Linked DNA regions of Callithrix jacchus. The protein of the gene in region 1 interacts with the protein of each later gene in a biochemical or structural test. Links are inferred from orthologs where the notes say so. Each region holds a gene or a part of one and is shown in the gene's direction. Other genes may lie near its edges. The genes, in order: PTEN, PRDX1, MEX3C, NHERF1, RPL27A, DNAJA1 and MAGI3.

Evidence for each region.
Region 2: the proteins of PTEN (region 1) and PRDX1 form a complex in vitro, tested with the Homo sapiens proteins (2 studies listed by BioGRID and IntAct). The link is inferred for Callithrix jacchus from reciprocal best matches to the Homo sapiens genes PTEN and PRDX1.
Region 3: of the proteins of PTEN (region 1) and MEX3C, one has a biochemical effect on the other in vitro, tested with the Homo sapiens proteins (2 studies listed by BioGRID). The link is inferred for Callithrix jacchus from reciprocal best matches to the Homo sapiens genes PTEN and MEX3C.
Region 4: the proteins of PTEN (region 1) and NHERF1 form a complex in vitro, tested with the Homo sapiens proteins (3 studies listed by BioGRID and IntAct). The link is inferred for Callithrix jacchus from reciprocal best matches to the Homo sapiens genes PTEN and NHERF1.
Region 5: the proteins of PTEN (region 1) and RPL27A form a complex in vitro, tested with the Homo sapiens proteins (2 studies listed by BioGRID). The link is inferred for Callithrix jacchus from reciprocal best matches to the Homo sapiens genes PTEN and RPL27A.
Region 6: the proteins of PTEN (region 1) and DNAJA1 form a complex in vitro, tested with the Homo sapiens proteins (2 studies listed by BioGRID). The link is inferred for Callithrix jacchus from reciprocal best matches to the Homo sapiens genes PTEN and DNAJA1.
Region 7: the proteins of PTEN (region 1) and MAGI3 form a complex in vitro, tested with the Homo sapiens proteins (2 studies listed by BioGRID and IntAct, with this or other methods). The link is inferred for Callithrix jacchus from reciprocal best matches to the Homo sapiens genes PTEN and MAGI3.

The regions. Positions count from the first base shown.
Region 1 is NC_133513.1:80,559,128-80,562,627, forward strand, and holds part of PTEN (phosphatidylinositol 3,4,5-trisphosphate 3-phosphatase and dual-specificity protein phosphatase PTEN), read left to right. Parts: intron 1-1,314; coding exon 1,315-1,500; 3' UTR 1,501-3,500. UniProt on the Homo sapiens protein: Dual-specificity protein phosphatase, dephosphorylating tyrosine-, serine- and threonine-phosphorylated proteins.
Region 2 is NC_133508.1:82,247,095-82,251,045, reverse strand, and holds the start of PRDX1 (peroxiredoxin-1), read left to right. Parts: upstream 1-1,151; 5' UTR 1,152-1,236; intron 1,237-1,376; exon of another isoform or gene 1,377-1,659; intron 1,660-3,406; 5' UTR 3,407-3,417; coding exon 3,418-3,523; intron 3,524-3,951. UniProt on the Homo sapiens protein: Thiol-specific peroxidase that catalyzes the reduction of hydrogen peroxide and organic hydroperoxides to water and alcohols, respectively.
Region 3 is NC_133514.1:94,394,947-94,398,959, reverse strand, and holds the start of MEX3C (RNA-binding E3 ubiquitin-protein ligase MEX3C), read left to right. Parts: upstream 1-1,213; 5' UTR 1,214-1,553; coding exon 1,554-2,286; intron 2,287-4,013. UniProt on the Homo sapiens protein: E3 ubiquitin ligase responsible for the post-transcriptional regulation of common HLA-A allotypes. Binds to the 3' UTR of HLA-A2 mRNA, and regulates its levels by promoting mRNA decay.
Region 4 is NC_133506.1:130,704,070-130,706,236, forward strand, and holds the end of NHERF1 (Na(+)/H(+) exchange regulatory cofactor NHE-RF1), read left to right. Parts: intron 1-400; coding exon 401-541; intron 542-771; coding exon 772-960; 3' UTR 961-1,667; downstream 1,668-2,167. UniProt on the Homo sapiens protein: Scaffold protein that connects plasma membrane proteins with members of the ezrin/moesin/radixin family and thereby helps to link them to the actin cytoskeleton and to regulate their surface expression. Necessary for recycling of internalized ADRB2.
Region 5 is NC_133511.1:74,572,792-74,577,091, forward strand, and holds the start of RPL27A (large ribosomal subunit protein uL15), read left to right. Parts: upstream 1-1,500; coding exon 1,501-1,600; exon of another isoform or gene 1,601-1,693; intron 1,694-4,300. UniProt on the Homo sapiens protein: Component of the large ribosomal subunit. The ribosome is a large ribonucleoprotein complex responsible for the synthesis of proteins in the cell.
Region 6 is NC_133502.1:140,217,487-140,221,479, forward strand, and holds the start of DNAJA1 (dnaJ homolog subfamily A member 1), read left to right. Parts: upstream 1-1,455; intron 1,456-1,483; exon of another isoform or gene 1,484-1,709; intron 1,710-2,118; coding exon of another isoform or gene 2,119-2,162; intron 2,163-2,209; 5' UTR 2,210-2,219; coding exon 2,220-2,351; intron 2,352-2,556; coding exon 2,557-2,734; intron 2,735-3,993. Other genes in the region: uncharacterized protein LOC128932268, read right to left, coding at 822-1,455, 2,119-2,162.
Region 7 is NC_133508.1:151,644,627-151,648,356, forward strand, and holds the end of MAGI3 (membrane-associated guanylate kinase, WW and PDZ domain-containing protein 3), read left to right. Parts: exon of another isoform or gene 1-208; coding exon 209-1,329; 3' UTR 1,330-3,230; downstream 3,231-3,730.

The DNA.
Region 1 (3,500 bases):
ACCTAACATATAGGGTTATTTTGACAGTTATTTTCACTATGCATGTAAAGGCCCTTGGCTCTCTGTTTAGACCACGTTATGAGGTTACTGTCCCTCTCCTTCCTTCCTTTAGGTGAAGTTTTTAGGGCTCATAAATTCTAAATATCAGTGTTGATCAGTAGTTTGTGTGTGTGTAGTGTTTATATCAAAAAATACATTGAAGTCGGGCACAGTGGCTCACGCCTAAAATCCCAACACTTTGGGAGGCCAAGGTAGGCAAATCACCTGAACTAAGGAGTTTGAGACCAGCCTGGGTAACATGGTGAAACCCTGTCTCTCCAAAAAAATATATAAAAAGTAAACTAGCTGGGGGTGGTGGCATGTACCCATAGTCCCAGGTACTTGGAAGGCTGAGGTGGGGGGTCACTTGAGCCTGGGAGTTCGAGGCTGCAGTGAGCTGTGAAGGTGCCACTGCATTCTAGCCTGGGTGACAGAGCAAGACCCTGTCTCAAAAAAAACAAAAAGAAAAAGAAAGAGGAAAAGAAAAAAAAAGAAAAGGAAAGGAAGGAAGGAAAAGAAAAAAGAAGAGAGGGAAGGAAGGAATTGATTTTTAGGTAACTAGTAAGAGAAACATTCTTTTTGAACTTAGCCATTTGTGAATTGAATTTTATAATTGAAAGGCTATATTATGTAAACTATTGATAGCTTTCAATCTTCATTTATTTTGTAGAATTATTTAGTTAATGTTTGCAGCTTATATTCTTTAAAAAATAAATTGAGGCCAGGCATGGTGGCTCATACCTGTAATCGTAGCACTTTGGTGGTTGAGGCAGGTAGATTGCCTGAGCTCAGGAGGTTGAGGCCGGTATGGGCAATATGGTGAAACCCCATCTCTACTAAAATACAAAAAATTAGCTGGGTTTGGTGGTGCACACCTGTAGTCCCAGCTGTTCAGGAGGCTGAGGCACGAGAATTGCTTGAAGCCAGGAGGCAGAGGTTGCAGTGAGCCAAGATCATGCCACTACACTCCAGCCTGGGCAACAGAGCAAGACTTTGTCTCCAGAAATAAAAACAAATAAATAAATAATATTAACATCCTGATAGTCTATTAGTATGTTAATTTTGGTACCTAGCAAGAAAGAAAATGTTGAATATCTTAATAAGAAGAGGGTCATTTAAAAGGCCTCTTAAAAATCATGTTTGTTACGTGCTTAAAAATTAGTGTGTTTATCTGCAAAATGGAATAAAAAAGTTAATCTGTTAAAAATGCCTTTCACTAAATAATTTAAGATGAGTCATATTTGTGGATTTTCATTTTAAATTTTCTTTCTCTAGGTGAAGCTGTACTTCACAAAAACAGTAGAGGAGCCGTCAAATCCAGAGGCTAGCAGTTCAACTTCTGTAACACCAGATGTTAGTGACAATGAACCTGATCATTATAGATATTCTGACACCACTGACTCTGATCCAGAGAATGAACCTTTTGATGAAGATCAGCATACACAAATTACAAAAGTCTGAATTTTTTTTTTTATCAAGAGGGATAAAACACCATGAAAACAAACTTGAATAAACTGAAAATGGACCTTTTTTTTTTTAATGGCAATAGGACATTGTGTCAGATTACCAGTTATAGGAACAATTCTCTTCCTGACCAATCTTGTTTTACCCTATACATCCACAGGGTTTTGACAACTTGTTGTCCAGTTGAAAAAAGGTCGTGTAGCTGTGTCATGTATATACCTTTTTGTGTCAAAAGGACATTTAAAATTCAATTAGAATTAATAAAAATGGCACTTTCCCATTTTATTCCAGTTTTATAAAAAGTGGAGACAGACTGATGTGTATACGTAGGAATTTTTTCCTTTTGTGTTCTGTCACCAACTGAAGTGGCTAAAGAGCTTTGTGATATACTGGTTCACATCCTACCCCTTTGCACTTGTGGCAACAGATAAGTTTGCAGTTGGCTAAGAGAAGTTTCCAAAGGGTTTTGCTACATTCTAATGCATGTATTCAGGTTAGGGGATTAGAGGGAATGCTCAGAAAGGAAATACATTTTATGCTGGACTCTGGACCATACACCATCTCCAGCTATTTACACACACCTTTCTTTAGCATGCTACAGTTATTAATCTGGACATTCGAGGAATTGGCCGCTGTCACTGCTTGTTGTTTGCGCATTTTTTTAAAAGCCTATTGGTGCTAGAAAAGGCAGCTAAAGGAAGTGAATCTGTATTGGGGTACAGGAATGAACCTTCTGCAACATCTTAAGATCCACAAATGAAGGTATATAAAAATGTCATAAGAAACACAGCAACAATGACTTAACCATATAAATGTGGAGGCTATCAACAAAGAATGGGCTTGAAACATAAAAATTGACAATGATTTATTAAATATGTTTTCTCAGTTGTAATGACTGCTCCATCTCCTGTGTAATCAAGGCCAGTGCTAAAAGTCAGATGCTATTAGTACCCACATCAGTCAACAACTTACACTTAATAGTTTCCAATCATATACCTGCTGTGGATGCTTCATGTGCTGCCTGCAAGCTTCTTTTTTCTCATTAAATATAAAATATTTTGTAATGCTGCACAGAAATTTTCAATTTGAGATTCTACAGTAAGTGTTTTTTTTTCTTTGAAGATTTATGATGCACTTATTCAATCCAATAGCTGTCAGCCGTTCCACCCTTTTGACCTTACACATTCTATTACGATGAGTTTTGCAGTTTTGCACATTTTTTAAATGTCATTAACTGTTAGGGAATTTTACTTGAATACTGAATACATATAATGTTTATGTTAAAAAGGACATTTGTGTTAAGAAATCAGAGTTGCAGTAAACTTTCAGCACTGCACAAAAAAAAGACATTTGATTTTTCAGTAGAAATTGTCCTACATGTGCTTTACTGGTTTGCTATTGAAAGAATAGGGGTTTTTTTAATGTGCAGTGTTGAATCATTTCTTCATAGTGCTACCCCAAGTTGGGACTAGGGCTTCAATTTCACTTCTTAAAAAATATCATATATTTGATATGCCCAGACTGCATACGATTTTAAGTGGAGTACAACTACTATTGTAAAGCTAATGTGAAGATACTATTAAAAAGGATTTTTTTTTCCAGAAATTTGGTGTCTTCAAATTATACCTTCACCTTGACATTTGAATATCCAGCCATTATATTTCTTAATGGTATAAAATTTCATTTTCAATAACTTATTGGTGCTGAAATTGTTCACTAGCTGTGGTCTGACCTAGTTAATTTACAGATACAGATTGAATAGGACCTACTAGAGAAACATTTATAGAGTTTGATGGCAAATAGATTAGGCAGAACTTCATCTAAAATATTCTTAGTAAATAATGTTGACATGTTTTCCATACCTCGTCAGTTTCATGCAAAAATTTTTAAATTTTTAACAAAGCTCTTAGGATTTACACATTTATATTTAAACATTGATATATATTGATTGATTGCTCATAAGTTAAATTGGTAAAGTTAGAGACAACTATTCCTAA
Region 2 (3,951 bases), on another chromosome or scaffold:
CACGCCTTTAATTCCAGCACTTTGGGAGGCTAAGGCGAGCTGTTGGAGACCAGGCTTTGGAAACCAGCGTATCCAACAAGGTAAAATTCCATCTCTTCTAAAAATACCAAAAATTAGCTGGGCGTGGTGACGGGTGCCTGTAGTTTCAGCTACTCCGGAGGCTAGGCGGAAGAATCGCTTGAGCCTGGCATGCGGAGGTTGCAGTAAGCCAACACCCGGTCACTGCACTGCAGCCTGGGAGACAAAGTGAGTGAGACTCCGTCTCAAAAAAAAAAAAAAAAAAAGCGTAATAGAACAAACTTTAGTTTTAGGAACTAGACTTTAGATTGAAGATCTAGTTACAGTTGACACGTCCTTGTTTTATGGGAGGCTATAACGGTTTCCAGGGTAGCAAACAATTATGAATGATTTTGTGAGTGTGTTTGTCGGGGGTAGTCATCAGGAAATGTCTGAGGCCTTTTGCCTAACCGTGTGTGATGGATGGCTAATGTGTGATGTTTTGACCCAAGATTGTAAAGTCAGTTATTCATCCGTAGAGAGGATGGTTGTGTACCTGAGTCAGCCTCCCAAGCTGAACTTTCACAAGTTTAGGTGTCCTCAGACTTTATTTTCCTTTACAACAGAAAGCAGCAACCCTGTAATCAAAGTGAACAGTGAAGGAAACGATGTAAGCTATGAGGGTTACTCAGGAGTTACTCAGGATCTGAGGTGGGGTTAAGGTTGCGAATTTAAGAAATATTTGGATATACAGTTCTCAGGGCTTGGTATGGTTCGACGTGGTCCTCCGTGGGCAGCAGCTAGGAGGCTTACTCCGGGTTGGGCATTGAGGGTACAGTGCGCAGTGGTCCTGGAAGTAAAGAGAATCCTGGTTTTCCGCAGAGATCTAGGATCAACCTAAACGTTTGGGTTTGGGAGCGGCCACAAGGGTGCCTCACTCCAACCTCTGCAGTCCGCAGTAGGGAGGGGGATTAGCATTTCCGCGCCCGCCCCCAAGAGGGAAAGCGCCGAGTCATTCTGGCGGGGCGCGCCAGGGTGGGGCGGGGTTCCTGCCACATCCCCCTCCCCTCTCTCCTCCTCCTGCACCCCCGGCCTGCTTCGACTCTCGCGAGAGCCGTAATAGCTATAAAGGCTGCGCCTCGAGCGAGTTTTGCGCGTCCTCTTTCTGTCCGGTGGTTTGTTCTCTGAGGCTTGTGTCAGGACTGGTGAGTGTGAGCGGCGCGGCCTTAGCTGAGCGAGGTGCGGCGCGTACTTGCCTTTTGCCTCTTCCTCCTCCTGTCCGGGGCCCGTCTGCGCTCGGCTTGGGGTTCTGTGGTGCTTGAGGGAGCGGGGGGAGGCCCGGCGCCCGAGACTGCCTGAGCGCTACGTGCACCCCTCACGTGGCCCCCCCGCGTAGGTGGGGGCACCTGGTTGAATCCCAAGTCTAGCGTGGATGCTAGTCGAGTCTTACCCCGGCAACCCGAGCACGTGAAGCGGCATCGGGGCGGGCTGGTGGTGGGGTCTCTAACTCTAGCTTCCTGCTGGGCTGGGTGGGTTCGGGAAGGTTCTGGAATGGACCTGTGTCCGGACTAGTGGCTGTAGAAAACAGCCTATACTTGTCTATCTTGTGATAGGGTAAAGGCTGTTCCGGGTCCTGAGCCTTGACTAGATTCGGAGTTTCGGGTACTTTCCCCATCTTTATTTTCTTGTACGTGGAATGGAATTAAGAGCCCAAATGCCCCCGCTGAAGCACTCTTTCTGCTGGTGCTTTCCCTGTGTTGGGTGTGATAGAGCCGGGTACCTGGAGTTTAGGGGTGTGGCCCTCGGCACTGAGCAGATCCCCTGAAGGGACCCGGCGCCGCCCGAAAACCCAGCAGCCTTTACCCAGAATTGGTTGGGTTTTGGACTTTCGGGCCAACTGGGAATGTAGGTTTGGACAAGAGGCCATTTATAGGGTCACCAAGTTGCAGTATGCCTTAGTTTTTTGTTTTTGTGTTTTGTCGTTAAAGGTTTTAAGGACTTTTTTTTTTTTAGGCGACTTTTAAAAAAGCAGTAAAAAGTTGGCTAAGATCCTTGCTCACAGAGTTTCTTTTGGTTGTGGTATTATGAACCAAGAACTTTGGGACTTTGAGAAAACTTTGAGACCGAGGCTTAGTGGGTTAAATCTCTGGTTTTTTTTTTTTTTTTTTCTTTTTTTGAGACGGAATTTCGCTCTGTCAGCCAGGCTGGAGTGCAGTGGTGCGATCTCGGCTCAGTGCAACCTCCGCCTCCCGGGTTCAAGCGATTCTCCTGCCCGAGCCTCCCGAGTAGCCAGGATTACAGGCTTGAGACGGGGCTCCCGGCCAAGATCTCGATACTCATCTTGGTGTTGACCTGGGTGAATCCAGCGCAACATTTCTTTTCAGCAGTAAATTTGTTCTTGTTCTTATTTTCGTCCTGTGATATTAGACCCGAAGTCAGAAACCCGTTTGTGAAGGGACTTCTCGGGTGTACACAATACCTAAAGATTTGAAATTGAGCAGATGCCAATATCTTGGTCTTGTCTCTTTTTTCTTTGTGTTTTTCTTTCTTTTCTTTTGAGATCGTGTGTTGCTCTGTCGCCTAGACTGAACTGTAGTGGCGCGATCTTGGCTTACCCTCGCGGTGGCTCGCTTCTGTAATCCCAGCACTTTGGGAGGCCGATGCGAGTGGATCACTTGAGGTTGGGAGTTCGAGACCAGCCTGAGCAACATGGAGAAACCCTGTCTCTACTAAAAATACAAAAAAATTAGCCGGTTGTGGTGGCGCATGCCTGTAATCTCAGCCACTCAGGAGTCTGAGGCAGGAGAATCGCTTGTACCCTGGAGGGCAGAGGTTGCCGTGAGCCGAGATTGTGTCATTGCATTCCAGCCTGGGCAACAAGAGCGAAACTACGTCTCAAAAAAAAAGTTGTATTGGCTGTAGGTGTGTGCTGTTTTAGACACAGCTACCTGGAGAAAAGTCAAATATGCTTCTGACGTTATGAAGGCTGGTGGAGGCCCAGTAATGGGAAAGGTCAACATGATTTTTTCCAGGCCAAACAAAAGCGTTTGTGGCATTGTGCATTTGGATTCTGGTTTGAGAGTCTTCACCTGCTCCATCTCTGCTTCTGTATAATGAGTAAGATGCCTGCACAAATCATGATTCAGAAAGAGTGAGAGGTGACTTCAGTATATGAAGAAATTGCCTTGCTGTTTTTAAATGAAAACAAAGGCCGAGATTCAGAGTCTTGTTTTGTTCCACAAGTTGGAAAGCTCAGATTGCTTGAGCTTCTTACTAATACAACATTTAACGTATTCAGGGACATACTGGACAATTCCTTGATTGTTCTACAGCTAAGTCTCTTAGTAGGTGCAGGCTGCCGGTTATCTAGAAAATTAAGGCTTGTTTCTAATTCATTTCTCTTTTCCAGCTGATAGGAAGATGTCTTCAGGAAATGCTAAAATTGGGCACCCTGCCCCCAACTTCAAAGCCACAGCTGTTATGCCAGATGGTCAGTTTAAAGATATCAGCCTGTCGGACTACAAAGGTAAAAGTAATTACACTGGGCTCATTGAGATGGAGTTATTTTATATTCTAGAAATGGCATGTTAGATCTGTGTCAGTGTTGTGTTTGACTGTAAAATGTTTTGTCTCCTAGGAATAAGTATTTTGGTTGTTGCCTTCATGTTGAAGTGAAGTGGTGATTAATCAAGTGATTACAGTGTATATATCCTAGGACCAGACCACTTCTGGAGAAACCACATGCTCCATTATGTTTGGACATACTAGTTCAGTTTTCTCTTGAGTATTCCTTGTCTTTTTATTTATTTTATTTTAATTTTTGAGACAGGGTTTCATTGCATCACCCCCCAGGCTGGAGTGCAGTGTAGCAGTCATGGCTCACTGAGGCCTCTGCCTCTCTGGGCTCAGCTGATCCTCCCACCTTAGCCTCTTGCATAGCTGGGACTGTAGGGG
Region 3 (4,013 bases), on another chromosome or scaffold:
CTCTAGCCTGGGCGACAGAGTGAGACTCTTGTCTCGACAACAACAAAAATAATAACCTCTAGAAATTATAGCCATTGCGTGAGATTACCTAACAATACTGTGGGAAGAGTGTCTAGAGAGGAGGAAACGGGATTCACTTCCTTTAATAGCCCCAAAGGTCCGCGCGCGGTAGCTTACGCCTGTCATGCCAACACTGGGAGACCGAGGCGGGTGGATCACTTGAGGTCAGGAGATGGAAACCAGCCTGGCCAACATAATGAAATCCCATCTCTACTAAAAAGACAAAAACTGGGTGGGCGTGGTGGCGTGTGCCTGTAGTCCCAGCTACTCGGGAGGCTGAAGCAAGAGAATTACTGAAACCCGGGAGGCGGAGGTTGCAGTGAGCCAAGATCGCGCCACTGCACTTCAGCCTGGGCTTCAGAGCAAGACTCCTTTTCAAAAAAAAAAAAAAAGCCCCAAAGGACCGAAGTTCAGCATCTCCAGGCTGCTGATGTAACCACCCTGCTGGCAGGGTGGGAGGGCCGGGCCCCGTGGGAGGAGCATTCCTGGGTCCGAGAGGGAAGGCCTGGGAGCCACGCGGCTCAGAAAACCGCCCCCGCAAGGGGATAGGAAGATACTGCGCGGCCCCTCCTTCCAAGACTCTCCTTAGGCCCTTCCTCAGAAGGGCGCGATCTCTTCCTCAACCCTAGGAAACAGCGCCCTAAAGCCTGCGCTAGCGGCTCTGCTCCAGGCTGCTCACACAGTGCCTTCCCTAAAAGAACGCAGCCAGGTGGGCTACAGTGTTGGGAGAAAATAAATCCAGGTGTGCGCTTCAACCACACGTGCCCTAGCCAAAACCCCGCTCAGCCCCTAGTTTTAGCCTCTGCAGCAGCGCCTTCTTCCCCCTCCTTTTTCCCGCCCCCGCCAGGGACGTCACAAAGAGTGACATGTAAATCTAACAATCATAGTCCCTCTCCGCGTGTGCCAGGAGGGACTGGAGAGGGAGGTGGGCGGGGAGAGGACGAAAGGAGTAGGCTTCGGGAACTGGCTGGTCCCGGTCACCCAATCAGAGAGTTCTGGGGAGGGGAAGGGCGGGGCCCGAAGGAGGGTGGGGGGTGGGGCTGGGGAACGGAGTTGGAAAGCTGAAGGAGGAGAAGGCGGGCTCCCAGTGATTAAAAGCAGCCAATCAAAGCGCGCCGGCTTCCTTCGGAGAGCGGCGTGGGGCGTCGCCGCCGCCGCCGCGCGCGCAGGGGGCTGGTTAAGGCCATGAAACAAAAGAAACCCTGAGAGGGGAGCCGCTGCCACCTCCACCAGCCCGCCCCGCCGCCGTCCCCACCCACCCACCTAGTTACCTACCTCTGCCTCCTTCCCCTGCCCCTCCACCCCGCCCTCTCCGGTCTCCGGGCGGCCCTGGCGCTCCTCGGCCTGGGTGCCCAGCCCCGCCGCCTCCCCAGAGGAAAGGTGTTTGCGCGCTGAATAGGGCCCGGGCCCTGTCCGCCATGGGGCTCGCCGCCCGCCGCGCCTGACCTGGCCGCCGCCGCCGCCGCCGCCACCATTGACAGCGCGCCGCCGCGATGCCGAGCGGCAGCTCCGCGGCCCTGGCCCTGGCGGCGGCCCCGGCCCCCCTGCCGCAGCCGCCCCCGCCGCCGCCGCTGCCGCCGCCTTCGGGCGGCCCGGAGCTCGAGGGGGACGGGCTCCTGCTGAGGGAGCGCCTGGCCACGCTAGGCCTCGACGACCCCAGCCCGGCGGAGCCCGGCGCCCCGGCGCTTCGGACCGCGGCGGCGGCGGCGCAGGGCCAGGCCCGGCGGGCGGCCGGGCTGTCTCCAGAGGAGCGGGCTCCGCCCGGCCGGCCCGGGGCCCCGGAGGCGGCCGAGCTGGAGCTGGAGGAGGACGAGGAGGAGGGGGAGGAAGCGGAGCTGGACGGAGACCTGCTGGAGGAGGAGGAGCTGGAAGAAGCCGAGGAGGAGGACCGGTCGTCGCTGCTGCTGCTGTCGCCCCCCGCGGCCACCGCCTCTCAGACCCAGCCGATCCCAAGCGGGTCCCTGGGGTCTGTGCTGCTGCCAGCCACCGGCTTCGATGCCCGGGAAGCGGCGGCCGCGGCGGCGGGGGTGCTATACGGAGGGGACGATGCCCAGGGCATGATGGCGGCGATGCTATCCCACGCCTACGGCCCCGGCGGCTGCGGGGCGGCGGCGGCCGCCCTGAACGGGGAGCAGGCGGCCCTGCTCCGGAGGAAGAGCGTCAACACCACCGAGTGCGTCCCGGTGCCCAGCTCCGAGCACGTCGCCGAGATCGTCGGCCGTCAGGGTGAGTGCAAGGGTGGGGAGGTCCAGCTGGGCATGGCCCCGGGCGTGGGTGGGGAGGCGAGGGAAACGAGCGTGTGGCGGAAAAGGCGAACCCGGCGAGGCCCCCACGTCCACGGCGAAGGGGTCTGGGAGGAGCCGAGGGTCGACCAGATGTGAAGATGGGTCACCTTGTGAAAACCCACGCTTTTCCTCTTGTTTCGTCGGGTAAAAAGTGCGAAGTTTCTCGGCGACCCAGTCCAGTGGTGTTCACGTTACTTGGGCTGTATTCGTGGAACACCAGGCTGGCATGGCACCAGAAACCTGTGAGGTGGTAAAAGGACGGGCTCTAGGAGTTGTGGGCTCGCTGTTGGGTATGGAAAGCATCGAGATTGCAAGTTTGCGCTGCCGAGTGTCTCCTAAAGCGCTCAGCCTCCCTTACGAGAGAGAGCTTGTTCAGATGGAGAAAAGGACAGAAATGGAGGCCTGTAGACAGAGCTCACCGAGGAGGGAAGGGATGTTTAAATGGTTGGTATCACCGCCATCCCCCGCGCTCCTCCGCCGTTCAGAAACTTAGCTTTGGAAAAGCAGCCCAACTCTGCCGCCGGTCTTACTGTATTCCTCTCGATAACGTTTTAACCCTCCGAAAGACACACTGGCTATCTTTTAGAACCGTTCAGTGTGCAGGATGAAGAAAAATTGGACAGTAAGGTAATTAAGAAACTTTATGCGTTTATACAGTTTTCAGTTAATTCTCTTCTTGCCAGCACACCAGTACTGCAGACAGACTCCTCCCACATTGTTCAGACAAAGGACCTGTGTCTCAGATTCCAGGAGTAGATTTGCGAAGGTGGGGGAAGGGGATGCCGGGGGTACCTCTGTATCCGACATTTTTAGGGAAGGTCCTAAGCTCTTTATGGTAGCTTTTTCCCTTTTATAAAAGGGGCAGATGTTACCTGCTGCCACCTCATGACAATATGGTTTAGCCTGGTTGATGCATGCCTCTTTACTGTTAGGTTGAGAGCATTGTTAGGGTCAAATAGAGATGATGGCGCTGCTGCTTAAATGATCTCATCTTTCCCAAGTGGTCTAAAGTGCACACAAATAAGAGGTTTGTCGAAATGGTGGTTTCACATATCAGAGTTGGCTCGTTTCTTTCTTATCTGTAGGATTTTAATAAAAACTCATCTGAAATCTGGAAAAAGGAGATCATTTCAGACTGCCTGATGATTGGCACTTTAAAGACACTGTTCAAAGCAGGACCTTTCCATTGAAAGGTTTATGCCTGTCGCTGTTCTGGTTAATGAGTTTCAAATACCTGGTTTGTTTGGTTTTGGCGATACTTAGGGTAATAATCCAGGAGAAAACATATTTACATGGGATAAAATGACAACATCTCAATTTGGATCAGAATGAGTTGACCATTCATGTAAGAACATTGAGGAATCCCTGTACCAGGCTTGTATTTTGCAGCGTATTGAGTTTGTGGTATTGAGTTGAGAATGTGAAGTTAATTAAGACTTTCTGCCCTTAAGAAGATAACAGTCTAATAAACAGTAGAATGGCACTAACTATAGTGTATTTAGTGTGACAGTCTCAGGTAAAAGAACATCTACCCTGAGGGCCTTGGAAAATGGGTAGCAAAAACAAATGGAAATTGAAAAACAGTGGAGGAACAATGAATGTGAGGAATGGTGTGGAGGACTGACCTCTAGGTATAAGTGGCAAGTAGTGTTATTTTGATACTTGAGA
Region 4 (2,167 bases), on another chromosome or scaffold:
CCCTCCTTTGCTGCTTCAAGGTTAGGGTTTCAGGATTCCTGGGGTCAAATCCAGGGGAACAGTCAAGTGGATCACAGGATATACAGGGAGCACCACATGGGTTCCCCATGCCAAGCAAAGAGACCCCCAGTGTCCCCACATTCCAAGAAGCCCCTCCCTGGTCATTGGCCCAACAGGCAAGTCAGTACCTAAAGGCCACTTTGGAGAGGGCCAGGGAGGGGAGCAGTTCAGCCAATCCATGACGGTCTACACCCCTCCAGCCTCCGAAGGAGAACCAGGCTGCCCTCTGATCCTCCAAGGAATGTGAAAGGAGCCCCAGCAGGCTCAGGCAGTGGGATCGGGGGTGGGGCCAGGACATCAGCGCTGCCTCTTAGACTGAGGCCCCTACTTCCCTCCTCAGGACCCCCACACCCCACCCTCTGACAACCCACACCCCTCTCCTCTCTGCCAGGAGAACAGTCGTGAAGCCCTGGCAGAGGCAGCCTTGGAGAGCCCCAGGCCAGCCCTGGTGAGAACTGCCTCCAGTGACACCAGCGAGGAGGTAGGCCAGCCATGTGGGGGGTGGCAACTGGGTTACAGGAAGCCGATTCCCAGGCCCCACTTGTTCCTGGCACACCAGCCTGCCTTTGAAGTCACATGCTGAGCCGCATTCTGTTCTTGTGACCTGGCTTCCCTGGGCACTGCCCCAAGGGAGCCACCTCACTGAGGCTGAGGACCAGGGAGCCTAATGAGGGACTGACTCCCAACTTCCTGCCCCCCCTCTCTCTCCAGCTGAATTCCCAAGACAGCCCCCCAAAACAGGATTCCACAGTGCCCTCGTCTACCTCCTCCTCTGACCCCATCCTGGATTTCAACATCTCCCTGGCCGTGGCCAAAGAAAGGGCCCACCAGAAGCGCAGCAGCAAACGGGCCCCGCAGATGGACTGGAGCAAGAAAAACGAACTCTTCAGCAACTTCTGAGCGCCCGCTGCCAGCCACCCAGTGACTGGCAGGGCCAAGCCAGCCTTCCACCCCACCTTTTTCCTTCTCTCCCGTTACTCCCTTGAATCGACATACAAATCAGCACCCACATCCCCTTTCTTGACAAATGATTTTTCTAGAGAACGATGTTCTTCCCTTACTTTAGGGAAGGTGAATGTGTTCCTGTTCCCCAATCAGAAAGCAGACTCTGCCTCCCTCCTCCTCACTGAGTGCCTCATCCTACCAGGTGTCCCTTTGCCACCCAGCCTGGGACATCATTGGGACCTACACCAAGCCAGGATCATGGGACCAGATGAAAGGGCACCTTCCCTTCCACCCCCATGTGATAACTGGGTTCAGGGCTGATCAAAGAACTCTGACTGCAGCAACTGCAGCTCGCAGTGGACAGGGCATCCATTATCCTGAGAGCTGTGGCTGACGTATCTTGTTTTCATTTGATTTTTGTTGTTTAAAGAGTGCAGTATTTTTGCAGAGTCTAGAGGAATTTTTGTTTCCTTGATTAACATGATTTTCCTGGTTGTTGCATCCAGGGCATGGCCATGGCCTCAGCCTTAAACTTTTGTTCCTACTCCCACCCTCAGAGAACTGGGTGGCAGGGGGAAGGGTCTGGCTACCCCTGCCCATCCCTGAGCCAGGCACCACCATTGTAAGGAAACACTTTGAGAAATTCAGCTGGTTCCTCCAAACCCTTCAGCCTCTGTGTCTTCCTTGGGAGTTTTGTCCTCTGGCCTTGGACCCCTTGTAGGTAGAAAGCGAGAAATGGCAAGCCAGGGTGTTCCTTGGAGGGTGGGGTACACTGAAGAGAGGGCCATCTAGGGCTCCCTGTGACCCCAAGCCTGAGTAGCTTTAGCTAGAGGGCCTAGCTGTGCAGAAGTCTGTGGGAAGGATGCACCCAGCAGGGTGTTCAGCTTGGTGGTCAGTGTGCCTGTGTGCCAGGCTGCAAGCTCCAGTGTGAGCTAAGGACCCCCAATGGCGACATTTACCAGGGAAAGTGGGAACTCAGACCAACGTGCTCAGAGGACTCTAGGAAGTTCTTATAATCGTAGGAGCGAGGAAAGTGAGTCTCAGAATGGATCTGGGTTTGGAATATGAGGACATGGCTTTACTCTGCTTACAGCCAGTGGGGTGCAGGATTCCCAGGGGCAGGCTGGGCTGGTACCAGATGCTCTATCTTATCTGGCCACTG
Region 5 (4,300 bases), on another chromosome or scaffold:
CTGAAAATAAGTTACTCTTCAGACTAGGTAGTGATATGGAAAACTGCCATGGTATTAAATAAAAAGGAGAATACAAAGGGATTTGCATACTACGATCGTTAACTTTGCAGACAGCTATGTCTCCATGTATATAAGGGTTGAAAGGTGAAAAGAAAACAGCATCGTGGTTTTCTTTTGATTTCAGTTGTTTATACTTATATTTTTTTCAAAATTTTCTTTAATGCTGTACTTTCTTTTCTTTCCTTTTTTTCTTTTTTGAGATGGAGTCTTCCTCCTGTTGCATAGGCTGGAGTGCAATGGCGCAACCTTGGCTCACCGCAACCTCCGCCTCCCAGATTCAAGTGATTCTCCTGCCTCAGCCTCTCGAGTAGCTGGGATTACAGGTGCCTGCCCCCACACCTGGCTAATTTTGTATTTTTAGTACAGATAGAATTTCTCCATGTTGGTCAGGCTGGTCTCGAACTCCCGACCTCAGGTGATCTATCTGCCTCAGCCTCCCAAAGTGCTGGGATTATAGGCATGAGCCACTGCACCTGGCCAGCGGACTATTTTCTATTATGTCTAATTTTTCAATTCTTTCTGAAATAAATTGGGATTCCTGAGTTTTTCTGTAATTCTCACTTGGAAAAAAAAAAGCAGAAACACTGCTTCTTCTCATCTTAACAGTGTTCTACTTAAAAAAGAAAAGAAATATATTTCCAAATTTCCACTCTAAAGATGGAGAGTAAGAAAACAGAGCTGGATCCATCCAGGACATTGCTGCTATTTGAAGGACTGATGTCGAATTCAGGAACCCAGCAAGGAGAGAAAGGAAGAGGGACCTGGTGATGCTGTGTTTCCAAGGCCACCTGGGAAGAGGCCTGTGGCAGCAAAAAATCAGCACACTTGCCTGCCACACCAGGCTGCTGCCTGGTGTCATCTCTTCTGTTCATTTCTCAGGGATTTTCTGAGGCCCTCATGCTCTGAGGAGGCCCAGATGCCTGAGATGTCACAAGGCCATGCTATACTTCAGAAGAGATGTCCCAGATGACCCCTCAGGAGTCATGGCCAAGGGTCATGACCCATGTGCCTAGTTGGGAGGGACAGGTCACCTAATGCCAAATATCTGGCTGCTACTCTACTTTGCAGATAGAGAACTTTGTCTGCTCTCTCAGACCTCTGTCAACCTAGGAAAAGGCATGCACAATGAACAAGCCCCACATGAGCTGTGGTTTAAGTCACCTGGTTGCCTTGTGAAGGAGAGGGAGCTGGATAGAAAACTGGGTTGAGCCAGACAACTACCCAGGGTACTCCCTCTACAACCAGGAGATCAAACCATTGATGAGAAGAATGTTAGGTGAGCACATAACCCAACAGGGAGTGCTGGGTCCACTCTGGGAGGCCTTCTGTTCAGCTGGTGGCCTGAGGGACAGAATGTAGCTTCTCCATAACCAAGGAACCTGGCAAACTATCCGGAAAGAGTGTCTCAACACCCAGAACCCCACCTCAACCCTTGCTGTCATGGTCCTCACTGTAGGCCCCAGCTCTAATACCCTGATGGTTGCCTTCCATTCCCAAGGCTCTGTCCGGCTTACCTCCATTGACAGATTATCTTCCAAGGGTAGTTTCCAGGTAGCCGAGCTCATTTGTGCACTTACTGGCCAGTGTTGATGACAAATGGAGGATGATCTCTTCTTTGACCTCGCCTCCTACTCTCAAAACCTCTCTTCCTGCTGGAGTCACATGCAATATGTGATTAAGGTTGAAGGAGAAATGAAGACCGTAATTGCTGTGAGATCAGAGAGGGAGTGGTCACTGAGACAAAAGCAGGGGATCTGAAGAGAGAAGACGAAAGGCTAGGCCCAGGCTCTGTATTTGACAATCTATGCAGCATCTGGCAAGTCACCCAGTTCTTCTGTGCCTCGGTTTTATCACCCATAAAATGAGGCTGGCAGTGCTGAACCCTAAGGCATATGCATTTTGTAAACTGCAAAGTGCTCTGAAAATGTTGGCCGTTATCCTTGTGGACTGAAGTGTCCTGGGAAGAAGCAGAATATAAGGTGGGTCTCAAAGGCTGAGGAAGATTCAAGACACGTGGTCAGTAAGAGGATGGGCACTCCGGAGTGGCAAATGGCATGAGCAAAGGCAAAAATGCAGATGGGATATAGCAAGCATCACTGCAGTAGAAAGCTTGTGTAAGGGAGAGGCTGAATTAAGGTTGGAAAGGCATGTGGGCTATATTCTGTTGGTCATAAGGCGCTATTGAACTTTTGATCAATTAAGTAAAAGAATGAAATTCATGTTTTTGGAATAATAACCTGGTGGAGGTGTGAAGGATGCAAAGATTGGAGGAGGGTTAGAATGCAGGCAGAGTGAACAAAGGAAGGTGTTGTAAACTCCAGATCAGAGAAATGATGAAGGCCTGAATGAAGGCAAGAATACTAAGGCTTAAACAGAGGAAGCACACTGGAAAGATATAGATACAAAAGGATAGAGTGGCAGTACAGTAGAAGAGAAGGCTTGGGGACAATTTTCATTATCTAGGTGGACAATGGTGCCACTCACCAAGATAAGAGAATAAAGGAGAAGGCACCAGTGAGCAGGGAAGATTGAGTTCTTTGATATGTTTACTTTGGTAGAATGTCCAAGGAATACTAACCAGTAACTAAGTGATCATAAGGGTGCTGAGCTCAGCAATAGGGATGTGAATGGAAGCCACCCAAGAAGATCATGTACTGTGAAAAGGTAAGGACAAGAACAGAAGGCTGAGGAACATCAACATTTAAATGGTGGACCATGCTGGAACCTGCAAAGACTGAGAAATGACCAGAGTAGGAGGAAGGCGAGAATTTCTCTAGAAAAAGATGCCAACAGATTAAAGCACAACAGAAAGAACAAGTGGTATGAAGAATAGGAAAAATTCAATTTGGCAATTGGTTCATTAATGACATTAGTAAGAACAATTCCATTGAAGTTGCAGGCTGCAAGCTAGATTGCAGTAAACAATGGATGGGAAGGTGCAAATGGGCAGGATTTGTGGACTTTCGGGAAACTTTGCTATGAAGGAAAGGGCAAGGGTAGTAGAGACATGGGAGAGTTTAGGCTATTTTAGCTAAAATATATTTTAGCTGAAGGGGACAAGACAAAGAAAAAATAAATGCGGCCGGGTGCGGTGGCTCAAGCCTGTGGTCCCAGCACTTTGGGAGGCCGAGGCAGGTGGATCACGAGGTCGAGAGATCTCCCGATCCTGGTCAGCATGGTGAAACCCCGTCTCTACTAAAAATACAAAAAATTAGCTGGGCATGGTGGCGCGTGCCTGTAATCCCAGCTACTCAGGAGGCTGAGGCAGGAGAATTGCCTGAACCCAGGAGGCGGAGATTGCGGTGAGCCAAAATCGCGCCAGTGCACTCCAGCCTGGGTAACAAGAGCGAAACTCCGTCTCAAAAAAAAAAGAAAAAATAAATGCACACACATATACAGAGAATAACTAAGGTGATGGGATTTTTCCCATGGGATATATTAACAGACTAGTGAGGGTATGGGATCTTGAACACTAGTTGAAGGAACCGACTTAAGGCAGAAGATATGCTATTAGTGAAGACAGGGAGGGGAGGGTAAGTTCATTTATTCACTCGACAATCACTAGTTGAGCATGGAAAAAAGCAAACAATTCTTGAACACATAAGGAATTAGGTCTAGTAGGGAAGACAAACATAGGTCAATAAATTACATAAGAGCTGTACCAGATTGTGTTCCTTGTGTGGTGGTACAGGAGGGGAAGTGAGCAACTATGTCTGCATTGTCCAGGAAAGGGTCACAGGCGTGTTAGGTAGATTCTGGAGAAAATTCGATTATGGCATTTACTTTTACTTATTTACTTTGTATGTAGAGACGAAGGTCTGACTATGTTGCCCAGGCTAGTGTTGAACTCCACGCCTCAAGCAATCCTCCTGCCTCAACTGCCCAAAGTGTTGGGACTACAGGCGTGAGCCACCGCGCCTGGCCTAAATGCAGCATTTAGAAAAAGTATTTATAATGTCTGGGTTTAAAGGACTATAAAGCGACCAACAGGCATCTAAGTCCCTGAAGCATAGCAAGTTGCTCAAACTTGAAAGGACAACCAAGATGACAGCAGAAGAGCAAAAGAGAAAGGAAGCCGAAGTGCCACTCAGGAGGGTGGGAGGGGGAGGAGGCATTTCGGGAGCCGCCCGAGACTTAGGAAACTGAGCGAGACACCAGGTGGGCACATTGAGGGTTAAAGGGCCTCGTGGTTCCGCACGCGGCCGGGAGACAAACTAGCAGCCACTATCACCAGCCCCGG
Region 6 (3,993 bases), on another chromosome or scaffold:
CCTCCCAAAGTGCTGGGCTTACACGCGTGAGCCACTGCGCCTGGCAAACTCCACCATTCTTGGTGCTAGATACTGATATATCTGTTGTGGTCCTAAATAAAAAGGCGGACCCCAATTCCCATTAAACACCCGTGGTATCATTTTAAGGTCCAAGGGCTCACGTTGCAGATTGTACATCCAGGTTCACTGACCCCTATAATGTGAAAGTCAGGTCAAATAATTAAATTGTTTTCGCCATCTTGCTGCTACTCTGTAGCCTGAGTGAAAGGGTGAAAGCCTGACCAGTGGAGTCCACGGCCTACTGTGCATCAAACGTGGTTCAAAGGTTTCACTGCTCAGCTCAGTCCCAGACTCTCTGCTCTAAGCTGCAGGAGTCAGCGAGGTCCAGGGCAGATAACATGTGTCTAGGGGCCTGGACTTGCACAAAAAGCCCTAATAACTTAGCAATTTGCTGAATTATGCTATCTTGGACCGCGCGTGAAAAACAGCAAGACCCAAGGCCTATGCTACTGATCTGGGGACTAGACCCACCTGGCTCGGCATTTCTTGCTCAGCGGGTTCCCTGGCAGAGAAAAAGGCGCCAGCAGAAGGGTGGGAGCGGGGCAAGACTTTGTTCCAATAGCTTCCCCAATCACATAAAACTCCCGATGGGTCACTGTACTCGAGCCCTTCCCGCCCTCGCGGCCGCCCCACTGATTTGGGAACCCTAGGACTTGCACTGCTCCCGGGCCATGGCCCAAAAGCCGAAGGCTTCCGCACTCCCGGGCTCGCTGACTGGAGGAAAGGGCTCCAGAAGATTCCACGAGCGTCGGGAAGCCGGGCTACCACCCACCCCCGACAAGGCCTTTCGGCGCAGCTCCTCCCGACCCGTGCGCCCCCGCGCCGTTGCCCAGGTAACCACGGGGCGGTGGCAGCAGCGAAGAAGGGAGGGACTTCCGGCGAGTGACGCGCCAGGGTTCGGCTACAAAAGACGACGGCTGCAGCGCGCCGGGAGGAACTTTCCAGAACGCTCGGTGAGAGGTGGAGGAGCGGTAGCTGCCCGAGCTGCGCACAGCTCCGCACAGCTCTGCGCTCCTTCCCGCTTCCTCACACACCGACCTCAGTCCGCTCACCGGTGAGTTTGAGCCCTCGCGCTTCCCCCAGTCCCTTGGCTGGCGCCATTGGCGCCAGGAAACCGGATGGAGCCGCGGTCGAGAGGCCGTTGGCCGCGTGGGCAGGAGCGTTATCGGTTCCTGGTCCCACGATTTCCCTTTAGGAGGGCTGATGTACCCTGGCAACCCATCCCCGGCACCACCCACAGTTAATGGGTCCAAGACCTTTCCTGGACCTCCCTCCCTACCCAACCTTGGATCTCGGATGAGCTGCTGCGTTCGGCTGCCCCTCCGTGCGCGCTCCCGCGGCCCCCCTCCCCGTCCACGCTCGTTTGGCCGGGGGGGGGGGGGGGGGGGGGCGACCCTGCGCACGCGCACTGGGAGGCAGGGGCGAGGGGCTGCGGGGGGAGCCGGGCGGAGGCCGCGGCTTTCGCTTTTCCTGTCTCCCCTCCCTTTCTTTGTTGAGGGCTGGGCTTTCCCCTCCGCCACTTGGATCCAGGGTGGGAGGGAGAAAGGAAGAAAACCTTAACGGTCGCGCCAAGTGCAGGGGGAAAGCTGGTAGTTAAACTCTGTCGGCCTGAGGTGCGAGAGGGGTTCGGCCGTGAACGTGGAGAAGCTGTAAGCCGTGGGCGGTAGGGGGCTTGCTGTGTGGAGCGGGTAACCGGTTTTATAAACCACTTCCCCCGCCACTGTGTGCCCAGATAGTTGGCTTTTTCTGGGGAGTATGTGGAGTTTATCAGATTTACCAAAGACGGTGATAGTGTAATGACCAATAGACTGAATCTATTAGTGCCCCTTTTGATTACAGCTGTCACCAACTCTAGGGCAAACGGGAAGAATCCAGATAATAGTTGTGTTCTATTAGTATGGAAGCTTTGGTGTGGGAGAGTGGGAACCAGCTGCTAGAACACGGCTCTTGAATTATTTTCTGATAATGATTATTAGATTGTTTTGTCTGTTCAAATTTATAGCTGAATCGCAGGAATTGTTACCTTTTTGGTGAAATTTAGGAAGGGGGTGTTCTTACAATCGGATTTGGCAAAGAGCAGATTGCTCGGCCTTAGCTCTCATTTTTACTAATTAAAACTGCCAGTTAAAGTTGCATTTTCTTATTTCAGGCAGTAGAAGATGGTGAAAGAAACCACTTACTACGATGTTTTGGGAGTCAAACCCAATGCTACTCAGGAAGAATTGAAAAAGGCTTATAGGAAACTGGCCTTGAAGTACCATCCTGATAAGAATCCAAATGAAGGAGAGAAGGCAAGTAGTACATACTCTTAAACATACCTGAATAATAGTTCTTTGTCAGATGTGTAGTATTTCTATTAAGGCCTGAAATTGAGTGTCTAATATAGTAACTATGATCCTTTCTCTGCCTTTTTAGCTAAGATAAGTGTAATATAGTGGCTAGGTAATACCTGTTTTTTAAAAAAAAAATGAAATTCACTCCTCTTTTCTCAAACAGTTTAAACAGATATCTCAAGCTTACGAAGTTCTCTCTGATGCAAAGAAAAGGGAATTATATGACAAAGGAGGAGAACAGGCAATTAAAGAGGGTGGAGCAGGTGGCGGTTTTGGCTCTCCCATGGACATCTTTGATATGTTTTTTGGAGGAGGAGGAAGGATGCAGAGAGAAAGGAGAGGTAAGAAGAAACTAGTCCTTATGCAGCTAATTAAAAGTAGCTGTTGGTCACAGCAGATCTTTGAGAAATCACCCATTTTAAATGCGTGTTTACGTGGTATAATGTTGCAGACTGACCATAAGCTGCCTCTGATTTATGGTGTCTTTTTTTAAAAATGAGATTTAAGGGATATAAAAAAGAGCCAATCGAGTGGTAGCAAATGACTGCTTCCAGAAATCTTAGATATTATCAAACATAAATTATGAGAACAGGCCGGGCATGGTGGCTCACACCTGTAATCCTAGCTCTTTGGGAGGCCGAGGCAGGTGAATCACCTGAGGTCAGGAGTTTGAGAGCAGCCTGGCCAAGGTGATGAAAACCTGTCTCTACTAAAAAAATACAATAATTAATGGCTGGGTGCTGTGGCTCATGCCTGTAATCTCAAAACTTTGGGAGGCTGAGGTGGGTGGATCACCTGAGGTCAGGGGTTCGAGACCAGCCTGACCAACATGGTGAAACCCCATCTCTACTAAAAATACAAAATTAAGCAGGCACCTGTAATCCCAGCTACTTGGGAGGCTGAGACAGGAGAATCTCTCGAACCCAGGAGGTGGAGGTTGAAGTGAGCCAAGATTGTGCCACTGCACACTGCCTGTACAACAAGAGTGAAACTGTCTCAGAAAAAAAATTACAAAAATTAGCCAAGCGTCATGGCACGGGCCTGTGATCCCAATTACTTGGGAGGCTGAGGCAGGAGAATCACTTGAACCTGTGAGGCAGAGGTTGCAGTGAGCTGGGATTGTATCATTGCACTCCAGCTTGGGCAGCACAGTCCATCTCAAAAAAAGCAAATTATGAGAACAAAGTATAGCAATATAATTTTCAAAGCCCTTTTTACAGATCCTATTTGATGTTCCATCATGCCCCAAAGGAATTTGATGGTAGATACAGTGGTCTTTTTCAAATGAAAGTGAGTTAAAGTTCAGAAACCTAAAACTTCTTCAAGCTTATATGGCAAGCCAAGAGAGCAGGGCTGAAAACTGGCTCATTGCCTGCCACCGATCTAATCTTGCTTCAGCTTTATTGTGTCAAAATATATGTATTTAATATATTTATCAGGAAAGTGGTCTATGGGCTCTAGAAATACTGCTCATAGGTAGGAATAAAGTGTTCAAGAGAAATTGGTCTCACTTTATTCCCAGTATAGCGTATACAAACAAGGGCTGATGAGCAGACCCAGTTTTAGAATGAATGGGCAAGCCATTAAGTTTCACTTTGAG
Region 7 (3,730 bases), on another chromosome or scaffold:
CTATATAAATAACCTATCCTTCATGTATGAACAGATGTCTAAATACATCTGCCTTTATAGAAATATGTTATAAACATATACAGGCTGTATAAAATACTCATAAGCTTTTTAAGCAGTCAGTACAATTCAGATGGCTGTCAGAGTTCAAAATGTATTGTGCCTATTTCTAATTCTAAAATTTAATGTTCCATTCAAATCACTTTTTTAGGTGATTGGGAAATTAATAATCCTTTATCTTCAAATGTGATTTATGATGAACAGTCACCATTACCCCCATCTTCACACTCTGCTTCCATATTTGAAGAGTCTCACATGCCAGTAACTGAAGAATCTTTAATGAGAGTTCAGATATGTGAAAAGGCAGAAGAATTAAAGGACATTGTGCCTGAAAAGAAAAGCACTTTACATGAAAATCAGCCCGAGGTAAAGCATCAGTCTCTTCTCCAGAAAAATGTGAGTAAGAGGGATCCACCCAGCAGTCATGGGCACAGTAACAAGAAAAATCTATTAGAAGTAGAAAATGGTGTTACCAGAAGAGGTAGATCAGTTAGTCCCAAAAAGCCAGCCAATCAGCATTCAGAGGAACATTTGGATAAGATTCCTAGTCCTCTAAAAAATGACCTCAAAAGAAGACCCAGAGATCGATCCCTCAGCCCCAGCAAGGGGGAAAATAAAAGTTGTCAGGTCAGCACCAGGGCAAGGTCTGGACAAGATCAGTGCAGAAAAAGCAGAGGTCGGTCTGCCAGCCCGAAGAAGCAGCAAAAAATTGAAGGAAGCAAAGATCCAGCAAATGCTAAGGCCAAATTATTAGAGGGTAAGAGTCGAAGAATAGCAGGCCGTGCAGGCGATAATGCTGAGGAGATCCCAGATGGGAAGGAAAAGTCAGGCGTCATCAGGAAAGATGCAAAGCAGAATCAGCTGGAAAAAAGTAGAACAAGGTCTCCAGAGAAAAAAAGCAAAAGAATGGTTGAGAAGTCTCTTCAATCCAGAAAGACTAGTAACACTACAAGTAAAGTAGTATCTGAAAATGAAAAAGGAAAGAAAGTAACCACAGGAGAAACAAGTTCTAGTAATGATAAAATAGGAGAAAATGTCCAGATAGCAGAAAAGAGGCTGAAGCAAGAACCTGCAGAGAAGATAGTTTCAAACAGAATAGAAGATCACAAAGGGAGAGAACTAGAGGCAGCTGACAGAAGCAAAGAGACTGGAAGATTCAAACCTGAAAGTAGTTCTCCAGTTAAGAAAACACCGATAACTCCGGGGCCCTGGAAGGTGCCGAGTGGAAATAAAGTCGCAGGCACTACTGGTGTGGCTGAGAAACGGCAGTAACCTTTAGTATAAAACAAAGAAACACAAGTTGTAATCTTTTCTTACAGCAGCATTTTTCCAGAAAAAAAAAAAAAAAAAAGCCTTTTTCTTTTCAGATATTCTGAAACAGATAAGTACATGTTAATGTGAGCATCAAGTTACCTAGGCTGCATGAAGGGCCTTAGGATTGCTAAGAACCAACTGTCCCCCTGGCTGGCTGTCCTGCCTTGCACTCAGGAAGGAGCTGCATCCACATGCTCATCTGATCCGCCCTGCTCAGGCTGCCCAGCTCGTCTTAATGAGTGTCTGAACAAATGTTGATATTAACAGTGTGGTCACAACTCACTTTGTATTTGTGCCAAGTTATCTACTGTATCATGTCTGTTTTTATCCTCGTTCAGCTATTTCCACAGTAAAGAACAAGTTAGGTTTGGCTTGGAAGTTGATGTCCTCAATAGCATGTTGCATGTTTACAGAGAGAAATATTTGAGTCCTTGCAGAGGAAGAGACTGTCAACTCACCATTAAAGATGGCACTTGTCTCTTCCAACAGCTACTGATGATGTCCCAGTTTAAAAATAAACCCCCCAAACATCACTAACTTCACAGGAAAAAAAATGTAGTCCAATACTGATGCTTTCTTATGGCTTTATTTTAATTTGGCTGGATAAGTTGTTTCAAGTAAGTGTTAAAGATAGTACTTACAACTGAATGTTTGAAATGAGAAAGTACTTAAAGCAATAGAGTCCATCTCCTGCTGTGTTATCCAACATTGATGTACAGTTACGGCATCTCAGGTCACCCTTTTTATTTGTTATTTCATTATGAAACCATAAAGAAGCATGTGGAAAATAGTGTTTATTGCTCTTTGAAGAAAAACCACCAACTATTTCTGGATATTTTGGCTTTACCTACTACTAAAGTCATTAGTCTTTAATACATAATGCATATTTGAAAAGGAAACATATACATCATGTGAGGGACTTAACCACGAAACCAGTTTCACAGTCCAGGTACCAACTCTTCTGGTAGCAGGTGTACAAGCTTGGGTGTTTAGAGCAACCTATGTAAGGTATTACCCAGCAAGTAAGGACAAAAGTGTAGACAGTACTTACTGGATCTTATTTAACTTTTAGCTACATTAACTTTCTTACTTAAAAACAAGAAAGGGAGACTAAACATCTGCTTAGCTTGTACACATTTTCAGAATTCTTTTAAAAAGTCTAGTTAAACGTGTTTCTTAGAAGTTGGAGACTGTTAACTTCCGTAAAATAGATCAGGTTTTTCAGTTCCCTGAAGCAGCATTCAGTAGCATCTATAAATAAAGGCACCTTCTGAAAATAAAAAACTCTCTTATGGAGTGTGTGAACACACTTGTTCTGTCACCCTGGGTTCATCTTGTTGTGAAGCACATTATGTCCAGGTCCTTCCCTCTGGGAGTCTGACTGTGAAACTCTTTAACCCAACAACTGTATTAGCCCCTGTAGATAAGACATGCTTCCCAGAGTGAGATTTTTGAAATCCCTTTTCATCCAGAACTGTATTTACACACCTATTGTAACTATTCAAATAAAGCAAAATTATTAGGAGGCTTGATAAATACTAAGAATTTAGTACCACAGAAATTATTTATTTTCCCTATAGTCCACAGATAGTGATAACAAATCCTATTTTTGTTAACGGTGACATAACTTTGATGTCCTATGTTGTCCTATGTGGCTCTTCCTTTCTAAGTAACCTCTGTACTGACTATATACTGACTTAGCAATGTGGCCTTGGAATGCTGAGCAAAATATGGATGTACTGGTTGTAAATGTTTATATATTGTACAGTACCTTTATATATACACTTGAGGTTCTGATTAGAGAAAGATCTGTAAATTGCTCGTTATTTTTTATATAGATATTAAAAAAAAAAAGCAGTTCATGGCCTGCATTTCTTTTTTACCATCAGATTGGTTTAATGTTGCTTTCTGATAGTGGAGCTAGATCCATCACAGACTGAGCCCTCAAATAGATTTTCTCTCTCCAAGTTACAAACATTCAGAGTCCTAAAAATCAGGAAGACGTTTATAGCTATACTTGTATTTACACATAGAGTTTGAAATTGTTTAGAGTTGAATATCATTATACCCATTTTTCATCTTTCATTGTAAAGAAAATAGCTTTGGATAGATAATTTGCTACTAAAAAAAATCCTTTCTTAACACTATTGGGGAGAGAAAAAAGTTTCTTACTGGAAATTCAGCTACTAGACATTTATAATGGATATAGTAACATAAGCCCAGTTACCACAAGGTCACAAAATTCCATTTCATTAGACTAACAATTCACATTATTTTTAAAGGTCATTTAGTTTTATACTTCTTAGAATGAAGTGTTTTTATTTAACTCTATATGAAAAATACCTAAAACCTACTTCAA